Arabidopsis thaliana: one gene and its partners. The protein of the gene in region 3 interacts with the protein of the main gene of each other region in a pairwise test. Each region holds a gene or a part of one and is shown on either strand. Other genes may lie near its edges. The genes, in order: SVL1, AT5G61240 and AT4G11860.

Evidence for each region.
Region 1: the proteins of AT4G11860 (region 3) and SVL1 interact in a protein complementation assay, tested with the Arabidopsis thaliana proteins (one large-scale study listed by BioGRID).
Region 2: the proteins of AT4G11860 (region 3) and AT5G61240 interact in a protein complementation assay, tested with the Arabidopsis thaliana proteins (one large-scale study listed by BioGRID).

Annotation. Positions count from the first base shown.
Region 1 is NC_003076.8:22,472,484-22,478,728, forward strand, and holds SVL1 (SHV3-like 1), read left to right. Parts: upstream 1-1,658; 5' UTR 1,659-1,793; coding exon 1,794-1,932; intron 1,933-2,131; coding exon 2,132-2,425; intron 2,426-2,651; coding exon 2,652-2,767; intron 2,768-2,853; coding exon 2,854-3,352; intron 3,353-3,456; coding exon 3,457-3,495; intron 3,496-3,601; coding exon 3,602-3,886; intron 3,887-4,211; coding exon 4,212-4,357; intron 4,358-4,460; coding exon 4,461-4,947; intron 4,948-5,040; coding exon 5,041-5,336; 3' UTR 5,337-5,733; downstream 5,734-6,245. Other genes in the region: NHX3 (Na+/H+ (sodium hydrogen) exchanger 3), read right to left, coding at 1-102.
Region 2 is NC_003076.8:24,627,278-24,632,784, reverse strand, and holds AT5G61240 (Leucine-rich repeat (LRR) family protein), read right to left. Parts: upstream 3,530-5,507; 5' UTR 3,301-3,529; coding exon 3,216-3,300; intron 2,870-3,215; coding exon 2,722-2,869; intron 2,646-2,721; coding exon 2,574-2,645; intron 2,401-2,573; coding exon 2,325-2,400; intron 2,238-2,324; coding exon 2,203-2,237; intron 2,117-2,202; coding exon 2,045-2,116; intron 1,948-2,044; coding exon 1,804-1,947; intron 1,708-1,803; coding exon 1,627-1,707; intron 1,529-1,626; coding exon 1,457-1,528; intron 1,378-1,456; coding exon 1,306-1,377; intron 1,201-1,305; coding exon 1,129-1,200; intron 918-1,128; coding exon 827-917; 3' UTR 583-826; downstream 1-582. Other genes in the region: GUS1 (glucuronidase 1), read left to right, coding at 1-25, 108-491; ANK6 (Ankyrin repeat family protein), read right to left, coding at 4,007-4,531.
Region 3 is NC_003075.7:7,133,308-7,140,304, forward strand, and holds AT4G11860 (FAM63A-like protein (DUF544)), read right to left. Parts: upstream 5,204-6,997; 5' UTR 5,055-5,203; coding exon 4,856-5,054; intron 4,505-4,855; coding exon 4,386-4,504; intron 4,297-4,385; coding exon 4,190-4,296; intron 4,109-4,189; coding exon 4,021-4,108; intron 3,683-4,020; coding exon 2,977-3,682; intron 2,822-2,976; coding exon 2,591-2,821; intron 2,430-2,590; coding exon 2,375-2,429; intron 2,286-2,374; coding exon 2,204-2,285; intron 2,118-2,203; coding exon 2,037-2,117; intron 1,904-2,036; coding exon 1,790-1,903; intron 1,696-1,789; coding exon 1,646-1,695; intron 1,512-1,645; coding exon 1,391-1,511; intron 1,026-1,390; coding exon 930-1,025; 3' UTR 589-929; downstream 1-588.

The DNA of each region.
Region 1 (6,245 bases), on a different chromosome or scaffold from region 3:
TAAACATAGACAGAGAATGGCGATGAACACTGAGATTGGTATCACCTGAGGATGCTCAGCTGCTAGTTTATTCGTCACAAACTCTGTTAATCCGATACTCATTTTTCACTCGATAATGTTTTCGATTTCGTCGATTTTGAAAACACCAATCGCAAACGAAGAAGGCACACAGAGAACGATAGAGAGAGAGACGAGGAAAGAGTCAGAGAGTGAGGAGAGATTTGAACTGCGATGAACAAGGCGGTGGTTACAGGTGGCGAGGAGACGAAAGACACGTGGCATGTTTCCAACGTCATCAGACTGAGTAAACGTGAGGCTTTTTGGAATTGTACTGCATCTTGGGCCTTTTTAGGGCCCAAAACTAACTCATCATGTATTTTTTTCTTACCGGATTTGGGGATTTTTTTCTTTTTTCTTTTTTGGGTCTAACTAACTCGCGTAAATTGTTGTTCTTTTTCCTTAATTTATTTTTACCTCTTGTTCTTTATTCTGTTTATATAAAATTATGAAACTTGAAAACTCAATATTTATTACAACGAATTATTTGGTGAAGACTCGAACCAATCGAAATAAAACACTCTACTGAGTAACGGTCCCGGTTGCAACAGCCAAGACGCTAGAACGTGATCGTTTCGTTTGGTCGTGTTTTGATGACGTAAAAAGTGACTCAGCGACCTATTTCACCACGTGTAATCTTTAACGACCATGTTCTAGGACCTACCTGACTTTTAATCGATCATCCACCACCGCCTTCTCAACATTTTTTAAGATACTAGTATCATTATAGCTATAATATAAATTAAGAAACTTGTAAATATTATAATTAACGTGAAAACATAGAATTCGGATATATAATGTGTATATTAGATAAATAATAAATCTGCTCATATGTGATATGTATATGCATATATCATATATGTAAATGTAGCCATTATTGGAATGCGTATTGGGTAATGGGTAGTATCACTAGAATGATACAATTTTTCTTATATACAGAGAAGAGAAGAGGAAACAAGAAAAACAAATACGTTCCCCGCAGTAGACTTTTTATTTGTTGGTACCGTAGAGGAAAACAGATATACACCAATTACTATAGGAGTGATTAAGGGAGAAATTGCAGGGATATAATTGATATCTAATAGCCGTTTCTACACTAATCCTAATTATAACAAGACCAATGATTGACACATGTATATTGCAATTGCATGCATTATATAGTTTATTATTATGCTTGCTTATAGTTTAGCTGGTTTTGGAAACAAGTAGGTAGTAATAAAGAAAAACAAAGAGAGAGTAGGTCGTAATAAATGAAGAACGCATAACTATAAAAAATAAATACACAAATATATGTAAAACAATTGTTTGGTTTCTCTAGGTTGGAGACAACCAATCAAAAAATTATATTCTAATTTAAAATAAAACTTATTTAGTTATCCCATGAAAATTAAACTCTTGTATTCTCAAAAAAAAATTGAGTCAAAATTACACTCCCAATATTTTCTGTCTGCAATAAAGATATGGAGACACATTGAAAAACATTTTAGTTTATTTATGAAAAACCAAAAAAATAAAATTTTAGTTGATGTTTTCTTTTTAAAGTGGAAAAATGTGTCAAAAACAAAAAGTCGAAGTTCTTTTGTTTTCCCTTTTAAAATAATCAACGATCATATAAATTCGAATCCCACAAACCAAAAAGCTCTCTCTCTCTCTCTCTCTCTCTCTCTCTCTGAGTAAATCTCAGTTTTTGGTCGAAGTTGGTGAAGTCGCCGCCGGGACAACTCAGGTTGTTACAGATGATAAACATGCGAGATAATCCAACAATGCATGTCTTACAAGCTTCAAAGTTTCTATTTTTAGCTCTTATTTTGATCCAGTTGCTGTCTACTCAACTCTTTGCTCAAAGATCTAAAAGTCCATGGCAAACACTCACTGGTTAGTGTCTTCTATCTCCTTCTTCTCCTATTTATTCAATACCCTTCACTGTTAATCAATAAATCAGTAGAAAAGTTGCTTCCTTTTGAATCGTTTCATAGAAATCAAAGAGAAAAATTTGGGGGTTTTCTGAGTTTCATCCAAAGAAAAATCGAAGCTTTCTTATAGGTTTCATCGGATTTTGTTTCCATTTTTGTAGGAGATGCTCCCCTTGTCATTGCTCGTGGTGGGTTTTCTGGGTTGTTGCCAGATTCAAGTCTCGATGCTTACAGTTTTGTATCGCAGACTAGTGTTCCTGGTGCTGTTCTTTGGTGTGATGTGCAACTAACGAAAGATGCAATTGGACTTTGCTTCCCTGATGTGAAGATGATGAATGCTTCCAATATTCAAGATGTTTACCCTAAACGGAAAACTTCTTACTTGCTTAATGGAGTCCCTACTCAGGATTGGTTCACCATTGATTTCAACTTCAAGGATCTGACAAAAGTTATCTGTAAGTTCACGCGTCTTTTTGAGCTTTAGTATACATTCTAATTTATTGGACTAGTGGATACTAGTTGTAGAAAGATCTTATGTTAATTAGTTTATCTATGTTTTAGGGGTAATTTGTCTGTGACATTTGATCAAATTGAGTAAATTTTAGTATTGTTAGATTTGATTGCTGCTGTTCATTGAGGTGTAACTTGCTTGAATCTTCTTCATACAAATCATTCTCATAGTGAAACAAGGAATATTATCACGGTCAGCGGCATTCGATGGAAACAGTTACGGGATATCGACAGTTAAAGATATATCTACGCAGTTAAAACCTGAGGGTTTTTGGTTAAATGTTCAGGTAGCTCTTTTGTCAGTAAGTTTCTTGTTGTTTTCCATTTTTTGTTGCAGTGAAAGCTCACTCTAATACGGCTGTTCTTTATTCAGCACGACGCATTCTATGCTCAACATAATCTGAGCATGAGCAGCTTTCTGCTATCAATTTCCAAGACTGTGATTATTGACTATCTCTCTTCCCCTGAGGTGAATTTCTTTCGGAACATTGGTAGGCGTTTTGGACGCAATGGGCCAAAGTTTGTGTTCCGGTTTCTTGAAAAAGATGATGTTGAGGTGTCAACCAACCAAACCTATGGATCTCTTGCGGGAAACCTAACATTCCTCAAGACTTTTGCTTCAGGAGTTCTTGTTCCCAAGTCTTACATATGGCCAATCGAAAGCCAATACTTGCTTCCCCGTACATCTTTTGTTCAAGATGCTCACAAAGCAGGATTAGAAGTATATGCATCAGGTTTTGGAAACGATTTTGATCTTGCATACAACTACAGTTTTGATCCATTGGCCGAGTACTTATCTTTCATGGACAATGGAGATTTCTCCGTGGATGGCTTGCTTTCTGATTTCCCACTAACAGCATCTTCAGCTGTTGGTAAGTAAATCTCTTCTTCTGTATCACATATACTGCTATAGAAACTACAACTACACAAGTAAAACCATTTTTCACTTTTCCTTTAAACTTTTCTTGTTCCTCAGACTGCTTCTCCCATCTTGGAAGTAATGCTTCATCACAAGGTATTTGAGCTATTCATATGCGTTTTACTGGCCACATTATTGATGCCATGGCACAATAATAACTAACGGTAGATTTTTTTAATCTTCTGTTTGGTTCATGTCACAGTGGATTTTCTTGTTATATCCAAAAATGGAGCAAGTGGAGACTACCCTGGCTGTACTGACTTGGCCTATACAAAGGCTATCAAAGATGGTGCTGATGTTATCGATTGTTCTCTTCAAATGTCATCAGACGGGATTCCGTTTTGCTTAAGTTCAATAAATCTTGGGGAGAGCACGAACGTTGTCCAAAGTCCTTTCAGAAACCGTTCTACAACTGTTCCTGAGATCGGCTCACTTCCTGGAATATACAGCTTTAGTCTGGCATGGTCTGAGATTCAGACCTTGAGACGTAAGTTTTACCCATATTCTCTTAAAACTGTCTTCTCCGTATGGCATTCTTACTCTAGGCAGTGTGTTGTGCTGGTAGATCCTTGTTCTTACGATAACTGAGTTAGCTGCACGATGGTTCTTTCACGGTGTCCACGGCAAATACTAATTCTAGTTATTTAGAGGCTACCAATAGATGCAAAATATCGTTCTGTTGCAACTTTATCTGTCCCTTGATAATGAAAAAGTAATCTTTCTGTTGATGTAATCCATCTCAAAACCGGTTTTTATCTGTTTTAAGTGTCATTGATTATGTTTCCCCCCCCCCCCCCCCCATCTTTTTGCAGCTGCTATTGAAAACCCCTACAGCAGGGAATTCACTATGTTTAGGAATCCAAGGGAGAGAAGTTCCGGGAAGTTTGTTTCACTTTCTGATTTCTTGAACTTGGCAAAAAACTCCAGCTCTCTCACCGGTGTTTTGATCAGCGTGGAGGTGAGTTGTATAATCACTTTTAGACTTTTATCGGTCATTAGAATAAAAGTGATCTTCGTCATTTCTTTTGATGGTTAAAACGAGTATGATTTGTTTCCTTCAGAATGCAACATATCTGAGAGAGAAGCAAGGGCTCGATGCTGTTAAGGCAGTTCTCGATACACTCACAGAAGCTGGTTACAGCAACAAGACAACAACCACAAGGGTTATGATTCAGTCAACTAACAGCTCAGTCTTAATTGACTTCAAGAAACAGAGCCGGTATGAGACAGTGTACAAAGTCGAAGAAACCATCCGCGACATTCTCGACACTGCAATCGAAGACATTAAGAAATTTGCGGATGCTGTTGTCATTAGTAAAAAATCAGTCTTCCCCACCAGCGAAAGTTTCACCACTGGACAAACTAAACTAGTGGAGAGGCTGCAGAAGTTTCAGCTCCCCGTTTACGTTGAAGTGTTCCGAAATGAGTTTGTTTCTCAACCATGGGATTTCTTCGCTGATGCAACTGTCGAGATAAACTCGCATGTTACTGGAGCTGGTATCAATGGAACCATCACTGAGTTCCCTCTCACAGCCGCGAGATACAAAAGTAAAGTGAAAACCAAAAGAATGTCTTTAAAGCTTTTCTGTTTTCATAACATTTTAGAGTTTTTGACTGTTTTTTTTTGTTGTTCCTTCTCAGGGAACTCGTGCTTGACCCGCAAAGACGTGCCTCCTTACATGATCCCAGTTCAGCCCGCTGGCCTCTTAACCATCGTGAGTCCTGCTTCGTTACCTCCAGCCGAAGCACCAAGCCCAGTTTTCACAGATGCTGATGTCACTGAACCACCATTACCTCCAGTCTCAGCCAGAGCCCCAACCACCACCCCTGGACCTCAATCAACAGGTGAAAAGTCTCCCAACGGACAAACCCGAGTCGCTCTATCTCTTCTTCTCTCTGCATTCGCTACGGTTTTCGCCTCTCTTCTACTTCTGTGATCACATTGATCCGATCACCCGCGCCTGTAGGATTTCATTGTGAGATTGATCGAGTCCTCAGGGAATTTTTTTTCCTTCTAACAGTTCTTGGGATTCTTTGCAGTGATGAGTTTCTTGTCTGTTCATATTATTCGTTGTCTTTTGTAGAATTTCTGGCCAAAGAGGTAAAATTCTTGGACGTAAATTTGTATCATTGTTGTAACATTATTCACTGTAATGTTCTATTTAAACTCTTGTCTTGTGTGTACGTACTTGTAACATTATGATTGTTCTTTGAATATTGTTGTCTAATCGTAAAGATTGGGCTTTTAATACAGGCTACTTATGGATCCAAATTAACTAAAATGGGCTTTAGTTTAAAGCCCAAGTACGTGATAATTCAACAAACTTGACAACTTTCTCGAGATGATTCAGATCTGTCGATGAAGCTCTTGTCTGGACTGGGTTTAACAACGAAGACAGAGATCTTGTGGGGATGTTTCTTCGTGATCATTGGTTCTGTTTCCTTCTTCGGATTCGTCATTGCAGTCGTGTCGTCGAATGATAGGCACTATTGCTTCTTGATTCCATTGACTCTACCAGTTATAATGGTTGCTGTCTACTTTCATTGGCTTAGCATGAAGCTCTTCAAGCATGCTTGATATATCCATCGATCACCATTTTAAGGATCTATTGTGAGTTTCAATTTCACTCTCTCTTGACAATTCATTACTGTACGTAACAGAAAAGCTATGGATGTGGATTTCTTGATTAAATTGAGACAACTTTGTTATCAAAGTAGATTTGTTTAACTTTAGTGATTACTGCAAAATTATGTAGATGAAGAGCTTGTATTACACGTAGTGACTTGTTACTCTCAATTAAATCTTCCAAAGCATATGGTTACATTATTGCAAAAACTATAGCATA
Region 2 (5,507 bases), on a different chromosome or scaffold from region 3:
TTACGTTCATTGCTCCAAAAGAAGAGTGAGTGTATATATATCTCTATCTTTCTGTCGCTAAACTATCCTCTAGTTTCGGTTTGTAACTGCGAAATCTATCATCTTAGGCGGGTATAACGATTCTTCTGATCAATCTGAGTAAGCACACGACGTTTACAGTCGCAGTCAGCAATGGCGTGAAGGTGGTTTTGCAAGCAGAATCGATGAAGAGGAAATCGTTCTTGGAAACAATCAAGAGCAAGGTTTCTTGGGTTGGAAACAAAGCTTCGGACGGATATTTGAACAGAGAAGAGTATCACTTGAGTCCCAAAGACGGTGACTTGCGTAGCAAGATAATGCTCTTGAATGGTAAACCTTTGGTACCGACAGCCACCGGAGATATCCCAAAGCTTGAGCCGGTCCGTCATGGTGTGAAATCTCCGGTTTATATCAATCCGCTGTCGATCTCTTTCATTGTGTTGCCTACCTTTGATGCTCCTGCTTGTTCTTGAAGAGGATGGTAACTGGTGAAAATCAAACATTGAAGAACTACTGTAAATTTCTTGGCAATTGTATATATGATCGATGTAACACATACTATTGTATACTGGAAGTGGTTTATTCCAATCTAAATATATATAATCATTTGATTAAGGAGAAATATAGATTAGTGGAATGTGTCTAACTATACAATATGAAGATAAAAACTTGTAGTCTTATGCTTTCTTTCATTTGCAAATCCACAGACCATACAAAAAATAATAATAGTGAAGAGGGCTAAAGTGGAACAATCTCTAGGTGGTTCTGAGACGTTTTCTCGAGAACCTTCCTGGAATCTTCTATCCGGTCACACGGCAAAATCGGCATCAGAAACTTCTAAAACTTTGTGGGTACCAATTGGGTTCACGCCTGACTTGAACATGTTGCCTTCAATGTACCTGCAAAATAGAAACAGAACTCCTTATCGTCAGAGTGGAGAATGAAGAAAGAAAACATTCAACTTTTCTGAAAAACCAGTCATCATAAACTCATCCAGATGGATTTCACACAAAACAGTTCACATTGTTCAAATTCTTATACTCGATGGGTTTGCTATTTTGTCTGAGTCAAAGCTTTGATGAACTCTTCAAAAATTGGGTGAGAACTCACATTTCTTTGAGGAATGGATGCTTGTAGAATGCGTCTGGGATTCTCCCGGTAAATTGGTTGTGATCAAGGTACCTGGTTTCATCAACATCATGATCCCATTAGAATGCATATTTTCTTTTAGATAGTAAGCAAATCAAAGACAAAGAGAAAGATCAGCGATCTAGCACAAAGACTTACAGGTATGTCAGTTTAGGAATATGAGCAATGGCAAAAGGAATGTTTCCAATAAATTTGTTGTAAGACAGGTAACTGCAAAACCAATCAAACAGACATCAGAGATCTAGTGATATAGTTTATTGCAGAGAGATGGAGAGTGTAGACTGCTTACACAATCTCTAAGTTTGTAAGATTTGACAGCTGAGCAGGAATCCCTCCACTCAAATAGTTATTATTCAAGTACCTAATGAATCGAGATTTTAAAAAGAGAAAACGTAGTACATAAAAGAATATATCAAACGGAAGAGAGAAGCAAATGGAAATTTCTGAAGGGATGCTTACAAGTTGCGAAGAGCTGGGAAACTTCCATCAAAACGGATGAGCTCCCGTATAGTTCCCACCAAATGGTTGTTACCAACATCTCTGAAAAATAATGGGACACAAACCAAACATGATCTCAGTAAATAAATCATTGGAGGGTACCCAAACTATATGTAGAAAACGGCATTTGGTGTTTACAGGTGGCGAAGGTTTTGCAGAGTCCCCAGTTCGGCAGGAATTCTACCAATGAGACGGTTTTCTTGAAGGTATAGATACCGAAGCTCGGGAAGAGCAGCTAGTTCCTTGGGAATTTCTCCCTTGAAGCTATTGAAGCTCAAGTACCTTAAACATAAAAAGAAAAGAAGAAAAAATATCATGATTTCATGTGGATAAAAATGGACGATCATCAGAAGGTAAAAAGAAACATTAAGGTACTCACAAATGGGTTAGTCTCTTCAGCTCCCCAATCTCGGGAGGGATCACATCTTGTAGTTTATTCCACCTCAGGTTTCTAGTGATAACAACAGAGTAAATGTTTAGGTGAAGTATTTGGAAACTTGACATGTTATGATGGCACAAATAACAGACTTCTGTCACGTAAGTGCTAAGTTCACTCTGAAGAGAATTGGATCCTGAGTTTGGTCTCAGAACAACTTATTGAGACAAACTTTGAAAGGAAGTAAATCAATGATTCATATCGTTGTGAGAGCACAAGGAACATACAGTACTTTCAGCCGTTTCAGTCGTCCAATTTGTGGAGGGATTGGACCAGTCAACTTGTTGTTATGTAGATCCCTGAAATATCAAAGAAACCAATACCAGTTTCAATTTAACCATCTTAAAACAGCATAACTCTAAAGAATTATTGGGGATCTCGTTTCACAAACTAGGTTGGAAATATCTGTTCAAAGAGTTCTTGCATCAATCTACCTAATGTCACAAATAAAAAGGTTTAGAAAGTAACTTACAGTCTAGTCAAATCCAGAAGGTTTGTTACTGCAATGGGGAAAGGTCCAACAATCGAAACCGCATAAACTTCTCTGCAAATCAAATTCAGTGAAGCAAATCAGGTTGCTACAAAAGAAAACACTAAAGTGAGAAGAAACCAGAACTTACAATTCTGTGACAACTCTATAGTCTCCTTGTGTAGAACACGTGACACCAGACCAAGGTGGAAGGTCTCCATCTCCACAAGGATCGTCACCAACCCATGAATACACCACTCTCCATCCCAAAGAGGCTTTGATTTCATTCAAAGCTTTCACTGTCCACAAGAGATTAACTTTGAGGAAAGCTGATTATAAAAGATACAGTAGTAACCAACTACCATGATGCAGAGATATAACAAACTTCTTGAGACCAATAGTATCAGATCCAATCATTGTTCACACATAATTAATATTTCTCAATTTGAGCTCAGCTCAGCTCAGATTAGAAATAGATGAAAGAAAAAGGATCGAACTTGCGTGCTAAATCATGGAAATTGATAAGAGATAGAACGAATCTGGATAATGGGTATCTACCAAATCTGTTAAAGAGCTATACAAATTCAATCAATGGAGGATCGATCATAAACACAAAACCAGAGGGTGATTAAAGTAAAAACTTACCATCTCGCTTCAATGTCTTGGAGTGAGCAAAAGCAATTAAGAGAGAGAAGACGCAGATCAGAAGTAGCTCACAGCGAGAAGCCATGGTTTTTGCTTAAACAGCCAAAGTGAGAAAGAGAACAAACGGGATCTAAGAAGAGAGCGAAATTAAAAAACTCATTTTTATTTTCTCTTCCTCCTCCTGAGATTCGTAAACCGAATACCGTGTATTTCAAACCCGCTATCTCACCGACGGGTCTGGTAATGATCCGGATGTTTTCTTTTTGGTTAATGGGTATCGACCAAATCATTCATTGAAGAGATAGAACCAATCTTGTTAATGGGTATCGACCAAATAATTGTCATTTGTGTAAAATTATTGCATTCCTTACCTTAATTAGTTAAACATGTCCTAAGACACAAATGACAATGATTAGAAACATATGGTGCTAACTCAATTAAGAGCAAAACTTTGCTTCATCCTCGCAATCTAGCTATATACATATCCATGTCAATTATGTTAAATCACACTATGTCAATTACCTGCATTAATTTTTAGACTTAATGATTCATAAGAGACCAAAACCGATTATCTCATATTTTTGGTTGATCCAGAACCGGTTAAACAAATCAAATTCGGCTAGGATATCAAACTGGAGTTGCAAAATAACACACTGAAGATTACATGAATGTATCCGCAGTTTCAATGTTTCACATAGCCCATAAGATCAAACACCAACCATAATAGTTCTGATAAGTAGTCTCAACTAGAAAACAAAACAAAACACACCGAGAAACAACCAAGAAGAAGTTCAGTTGTCAGAACTGGAAGATGTGTCTCCACCAGATGAAGAAGAAGACTCGCTGTTAAGCTTCTTCATTTCCTCGTACGCCCATTCAAGGCCGTGACAGTAATGCACCGGCGGATTAAACCTGGTATCAGTTATATCATCTGCCAAGAATGCGCCGTTCTCCACCAGAAACTTCACTGCTTCTCTCTTCCGCTCTTTGGCTGCAGCGTGGAGAGGAGTCCACCCGCATGAGCCCCATGTTTTAGCATCAATGTTGGCCCCACGTTCTAGGAGTAAATCCATGACTTCAATGTGACCTCCCTCTGCTGCAAGGTGAAGTGCACTCACTCCTTTTGATTTGGGTCCCCATGCTAGAGCATTCACATCCATTCCTTGGTCGAGAAGCTGCTTGACAGATTTCAGATCGCCTTTTCTGGCTTTGATATGGAGCGGATTCCAGCCTCTGTCATCGACATTTGATCTGGGAGATCGGCGTCTGAATGAGTTACGCCGGAGGGAGAATGCAGCCGACGGTTCTTGGAGCATTTTGGGTCTGAGCTTCAGCTAAACAAGAACTAGCTTCGAAACTAGGATCCGGATCTGTGTAGGACTACGAGACTCGGGTAGATACTAACCAAACAGGGGTTTCTTATTCTATGCTTTTAGTGTAAATCTCTCAGCCAAGAATGTCTAAAGAAGATACTACTTGATTTGCAACACTATCCAGACTAGACAGCAAAGGAAGCAGACTAATGTAATTAAGTTGAAAGAGAGCAACTCAATTAACGGGAGGCAAAGGAGTGATTGGCGATGCAGTAAGGGAAAGAAGGATTCAAACCAGGGCCGAAGACACTAAGCTTTTGAAGGATCACAGATAAAGCCATAGACAGGGAAGAGAAAATGAGCATCAGTTTGTAAGAAATATAACCCTAATGATTGTGAAGAATCCTAACGGAGCACGACCACATCGAGACTGAGAAACCCCCAAATTTCAGCCTTAGAGAACACTGACCTTACCAAACCTATCAACAAAAGATGGAGAAGAAAACCAAATTAGTGAAAACCAGATGAACACAACAAAAATGCTATAAATTTCTCTGTAATATAAATAACACAACAATCCAGCTCGTGTAGAGTTTCAAAAGTTCATTCAGAATCCAATTACGACACTTGTAGTCTCTAATATTGGCAAATCTACAAACAATACAATAGAATCAGAAAAAATACCCTCACAGAGACAAAATCAATCGAATCAAGGGGGAACTAACGAGTACAAATTTTAATCATCGATCACCAATCAAGTCAGCTACAAATTACACATGAATCAGAACAAATCACAGAAAAACATTGACGAAATAAGAATCCAACGATGAATCCGAAACGAAAAAGAGAAAAATCAATCTCGACACGCAAGGATTTTCACACATACTTATGAACACAAGGAATCGAAAAGTTTGAGAGGCTCGTACCGTAACCCAGCGAGGAGATAGAGATAGAGAAATGGTGAAACCAAGCTCAGAGA
Region 3 (6,997 bases):
AATTATTTGTTTTTAGTAACGACGACTAAGAGGACTTCCACTTTGGTTGTTGGCTGCTCACGAAACTCTTTCTCTCTGGTCCCTCTTTTGATGCAACTTCATTTGAGTGGTGATGTTACTATTTTTATATATCAACTAGAAATTAAACATTCGACTTAATAGTGTAAGTAATAATTAAGCATGACATTTTCTTGAAATGAAATCATATTACTATTTAATATTTATTATCAACAAGAAGTAAACATTCGAAAAATCACTAAATTAAACCATATAATTGCGTATTGAATAATAAATCAAGACATTTTCTTCAATGGAGAAGACATTTTCATTGTTGAAGTCTTCCTCAATTTTGAACTATAATTTTCAACAGCTCTAGTGGATTCATATTATCTATCAGTCGTGGTCTTAGCACATCATTATCTTATAGTGAAAAGAAAAAAGTTGAACTTGTAAAGAAATACAAACTAGTTTGAAATTCGAATTGAGGGATTAGGATATAATTTATTTATTATTTTAAGTTTATAACTAGTCAAAATGATTAGCTAATGCAGATAAAAAGTATTTTAATTAGGGATTAATAATCACATTCTCCGATTACAACTTGAAAAAGTTGGCGATTAGTCAAACCGAGCCGGCTAAGCAGAATTATTATAAAAGGCATCACGGACAATAGCCGTTACTCCGTCAAAAAAGTAACGGCGATCAGAGTAACTTAACAGAACGAAAGCCAAAACGTGAACACAAACTCTAATTCGTCTCCCACTTCTCAAAAGGATAAAGAAAAGCTCTGATTTTTTATGAGCAACAAAAAATAGTTTAGTCAAAGCGCAATTACAGTTTATTTTTTGTTAAAACCAAAAAGCTTTTAAGGATTAAAATTAGTTAGGGAATAAGAAAAAGTTGGAAATTTACATAAGTGAAATGAGGATTTACATGATTCTACATTTGCTATCTTTATCTTTAGGGGATTTGCCGTCGTGTCTCGAAGACGCAGCTGATGATGGCCTGTGGCTGCTCCTTGGTACCTGCAATGGTCAGTACAATATCTGATCATTAACATTCATCCAAACACCACAAGAAGCAAGGCTGCATTATATTCAATGAGCTTCTGATTACGGTGTATGATCATTATCGATGTTTTACACTCGCAATTGGTACTTGTAAACTCATCTTAGTCGGTAAAGTATATGGACAGAAAACAAATGTACTAAACAGGACTTGCAGATGTGCTTGTTAAGGCTATACTCTCTTACTATTTTAATAATCAGTGTTGTATATTGTTGCAATGTGCAGGTCACACGGTAATTTACCTTTTCTTATAATCATTGTTAACCATTTGTGTCGATTCCTGCTTTTTAAGAATATAGTGTTATGAGTAGGAATGAAATACCTGTGGACCAGTGACCAATCGTGAGGCAGCAACGCTAGTTGGTTGTGGAGTTGGGTTACTACGTGGGCTCTGGTCCTCAAACTCTTGTTGTTGCAAAGCTATTGCTAGTTGCAGATCAGAACTGCATAGTACCATGGGAATTAAAATTAAACAATCATAAATATGTTTTTAAGAGGACAGTTATAACAAATGCATAAATGTGTCTCTGGTGAGAACCAATGGGTTAGTGGTCAAAGAAAGGTATGAAATATTTACTTGACATCTATGCCTGCATCCGCTACATTGTTGATGCTGGCAAGATAATCCTGTGTAGGGAGAACCAAAAGAAAAAAAATGATTAAAAAGGTAAAAGAAGGAGATCTAATGTGGATTAGTGACTATATTATGAGGAGAACATACAGCAGTATTTGTGACTGCGTTTCGTTCATCCCATGTGCCACTTGCACCACCTGTGCTGCTGTCGATCGTGAAGTCCTTGAAGGTAGCAGTCATGAATGCAGTGTCACCATTAACCTGAAACCAGATTGCATGTCAATAGTGGTCACAACAGCCATAGCTCTAAAGAGATTGTGGATATAGAGATATCTCCTAAGAAGCCAAAATTAGCAGATAAGACAAATGGTGAGTAAGTAACTTTTGCTGATACCTCGTTTAGTTTTTCCCAAACCAAATCAGGCTGATTCAGGTAACCTTGATCTGTAGCCAAAAGATAAAGTTCACCTTCATACTGAAAATATGACAGCAACAAGAAGAATTTAGTTGGGATTAACCTGTTGCAATTCAAAGATGGAAATAACCGCAAACTAAACAAACCTTGAACATGGTGCAGAAATGATTGTTCCGGAAAAAAACACAGAGTTCACGTTCTTTGAGGCCTTCTTGCAAGCGAAAGAGTCTGTAAGATATGATCAATAATCAATGTAAGATAATACATGAGCAGTCAATTTAAAATATAACTTCCTAACTATGAATAAGATCACGCACCCACAAAAGGTTAATTGACTTGCACTATTCTTCATAAAGTTCCTGATTAGTTCACCTGGAAAAACTCAAGAACAACTATTTAATAATTGCAAGAATATATGGAAAAATGTGAACTAGAGCAAAGAGAGCAGCTCTAACCACAATGGCATGCATGTATGAGTTTCCGAAAATGTATTTCAAGTGTATCACAAGTAGATCAGACACAGTATAATTTACCTTCTTCTGCTGTGAGCCCATCCGTAGCCCTCCCTTCAGAAGAACAATCACCAACATCCTTCTCAACCCTTTTACCAAGAAGTGACTCACCTTCATAAACGGGTTCTTTGTCTGCACAAACTGGAGGCACTGTGTTTACACATTCCTCACCTTCGTACATAGGTTCATCGGTAGATACAGGTGGGATAAAAGCGTTGGGTGCATCATCATGCTGGGATCTGCAACTCAAATCTGGAGATGCAATGGGTATCTGAGTAAGAATTTTCCTATCTAATATCTTCAGATGCAATTTTAGCCAGTAAAATGATTAAGATGGAGGAGTACTATACTTATGTATAGAGACATCTATAAGGTTACACCAACTAAGGAAGAGTCAAAAAAACTACCTGGATCAATAGAAGCTGCATCAGACTTGAGTACACTCTCAGAACTGCTTTCACTTTTCGCTGACTCCAGATTACCCTTATCCACAGAGAGTGCCTCAGAAGAAGTTACATCGACAATGGCCTCTTTGCTGCTACTCACGTTCTCAACATCACAAGCCGTTTCACCTCCAGATTGCTTAGAAGATAATTGATCATGGTTAAGATCCTCACTTTTAGTTGTAATCGTTGTCGGAAATTTCCCAACTTTGATCATATTCCCATCATTTTCTGATGCTTTATCATCATCAGTTTTGAACTGGTCTAGCTGACTGATATTAGTAATATGGGTGCTAGTTGGACTCGCATCTGAAAATGTGAACGCAGAATCTTGATTGGTTGAGTCTCCGTTAGTGTTTGGAGTTGGATCATTCCCCTGCCCCTGTGATAACTGCAAGGCTTGCAACAACTCTGTTTCTTCTTCAAGATCCCCCTTTCTCATTCTACGAAGCTCTGCAGCCGCAGGTGGAGAATCATCAAAAGATCTTGTTTTCGAAAGACAAGGTGAAGGAACCCCTAAAACTGCAGTAGTTGCCGCAGCAAAATCAACAGAATCTTCTCCGGGATTTTGATCGCCTTGAGCCTCTACATTCTGTGTCTCCAGTGCAACTAGCTCACCCATAAGAGCATTATACGATTTGCTACCAATTGCATTAGCTGCTTCAACATCCTGTAGGTATGCACATGGGAAACAATTGAATCAATACTTTTACAGTTTTACTACAGGCCCAGGATTGATAAGGACACCATCTTAAAATGAGTGCTCTTGACCACTGTTCCAATCCATCTTAAAACGAGCCAAACAATGGATAAAAAGAATAAAGTAACCTATGTTTTGTTTCTCAACTCTCAAGAAGATAAAGAAGAGAAGATGACCCCACATCCCAAACATCCACACACAAAAGACAGGAACGAAATTAAAAAACGTCAACAGCCTATACTAATGAAATTTAATTATTTACGCGCAGACAGAGCCATTCTGATAAAGTATGAAACAAAATGATATACCTGAGGATCAACTATCCATCCATGATATAAGGGAATGTCAAGTAAATCAAATATTGCACATTCAGGTGTGAACTCAAAATCATCAATCCTGCAACCAGGTAAACACTCATGATAATTAACTTATGAATTTCTACCTATTATAAGCAGAAACAGCTGACAAAGTATTAACCTCCTGAATTTAATATTGACATCAATTCCAGTAGTAAGGCGTGGAAGAAGATCAATTGCATCAGCAATGTTCTGTTGCTGATTCTCAATATATCCTTCATCTTTGTTCTGCCATTGAGAAGAATAAAAGATTCACATAGATTCAAGCCACAAGATAATATAAAGAACAGGCAAAGATAAGAAGCCAGCTTATTTACATTGACTTTACTATTGGAATCAATGAGTCTGTCGACCACGAGGGACATCAATCTCTCTTGAGAAACCTCATAACAGTCAGGATTTAGATTCAAGTTGTTTCTCAAGAGAAGCACATTACCTGTTTCATCCCAAAATCAAATAACAATCAGTAATCAAAGTGTTAATTGATCTAAGTATTATTAAGCACACTAAATACCAAATTCTCACACTTGTCATTTCTACGAGAAGCTCAAGCTAACAACAAAATCTGATGTTCGGTACACTAACCATCAAATCAATGATTCATTACATTGTACGGAACAAGCAAACCTAACACCGATTCTTCAATTTCTTTTACAAATTCCACAAAATCAGTAACGCAAACCTAAAGAATCAATGATCATAACACCGAAATTCCACTTTCCAAACCCTATTTTTACGATCTGAATGAAGTTTTATGAGGACGAAAAAGGAGAAAATAGAAACATACAAATGGCTAACAAAGGACAAGGTCCATTTTCGTTCTGGAGAATGATAGGTGTGGTTCTTCCAAGGAACTGAATCGATTTCGTCTTATACAAAATCTCCTCCTCCGTAGTAGTTTCCTTCGGTAAATCTTGCTGCTGCATCGCTTCTTGATTCGTCTGCGTTTCTTCGCTCGGAGATTCTGAAGATGAAGCGGTCGCCATTGACGATGATGATATCAACCAAAGCTAATGAAAAAACAAATTCGAAAAAAAGTCAAATTTTCGATCGAAGAAGAAGAGAGACAGATTATTGGAAATTCCGAAGAAATTTTATTTTTTCTGATCCAAATCGAAAAGAGGAAGCGAGCGAGAGAGCAAAGAGGATTTAATTTATATTACGAGAAAGAACTTTTATGGGAAGGTTGATATTGAAATGTGTCACATAACCAAACCGGTACGTACCAAATCGAAATTCCGGTATTGTTTAAATTGCTATTGAACCAAATATAGTAACGACCAATTTTTCAAATTTATTCCGGTATTTGATGTATGAGAAGAATTATGGTTCGATTATTACGGTTTTGATAAACCAATTGGGTATCTTTAGTGCGTATCTTCTCGGGGAAAGGTCAATTTAAATGATAAAATTCTTCATTTCTTATCATAACACCGTCATTTCATTTCCTTAAAAGTCATCTTTTAATAGTTTTTTTATTCCTAATTAATTTCTTTATAACACGTAACATTTTAAAAAATTTTGGGAAATTTCTTGATATATCATTTACGAAAGAATTAGAAGTGTATTTATCACATTTATTTATATTATAGTTTTACACGAAAAGTTATATGAATGTCAGAATGTGTTGACAAAAAGAAAAGGAAGAATATAAGTGTTTGACGATCTAGAAGGAATCTATAAAAACGGTGGGACAATTTGAATGTTTAAAGAATTATGAGGTTTGAGGTTTAAATCGAAAAACAGAACCAAAATAAAAGTGTGGCCTGCGTCTAAACAATGGTGTGTTTTTTCACTTTAATTGTTTTCCGTTTAGTAATTATTTCACTTCAATATATAAGCATGTATTTTTATTAAAAACATGAAAATACTGTAGAAATTATGTTTTATAAATTATCACATTAATGACTAATTTTGAGAAACCAAACTTTATATATTAAGATGTTAGTAACATAACATTATAACCATCAATCTCAATTCACAAGGGAGATAAATTGATGAAGCAGCAGAATAACATCATTTCTGTTTGACCACGCTTGTACAAACATGTCAATGACAATGTGTTGGTATTTTTAATGTTGACTATATATATGGGCTGTAATTGAATAGTTAAAAGCCCAACAGGCCATTTGAAACCTAATTGTTATACTATCACGCGTATAGATGATGAAATCCAATTATAAAACTTCGAGGCATATGGCTTTTGCATCATTTTGAGTCAGCCGATATTCAACCCAATACACATCGGTCCGGTTTAGTAGTTGGTCCATCGATCTATACCAAATATATCGTGATCAATGGCTAGAAAAACCATCGATCTCAATGAGGCATATTAGGAATATTGTTCCACATTAGAAGTTGAGTATAATTTTAAGTGGTATATATATAAGTTATGAGTTTTTCCACTTATTGTCAATTAGTTTTGAGTTGAAACCGCACAATCTAATAGATTTGAGTTGTATATAAGAGATATAGACCTTTCCATTTATTGTCAATTAATTTTGAGTTAAAAACCAATAAAACTTAACATGGTATCAGAGTCCAAAAACACATGATTCACTAATCCAGTCCGGAAAGTGGTCTGGTCATCTTTACTAATTAATAGTTCAAAAAAAAACTAAATTCTGTCGAAATAACTAGAAAAACATTATTTCCAAGAAGCGTATAGAAAAAATTCCACATTAAAAATATAGAATAGACTTGACTAGTGTATAAAAAATATAAATCTCTTTATTCATTGTTAACTAGTTTCGAATTAGAAACCATAAAACTTAACATTTTTAACTTTTTTGTTCATATATCTTCGTTTGTTCTCAGTATTCATTATATCTAATTCATTCTTTTCTTTTCTTTTTGATCATTTTATTTTTATAAGCGAAATTTGCATGTATAACCTAAAAAAAACTTATTAATTAAGAAACTAATCTAT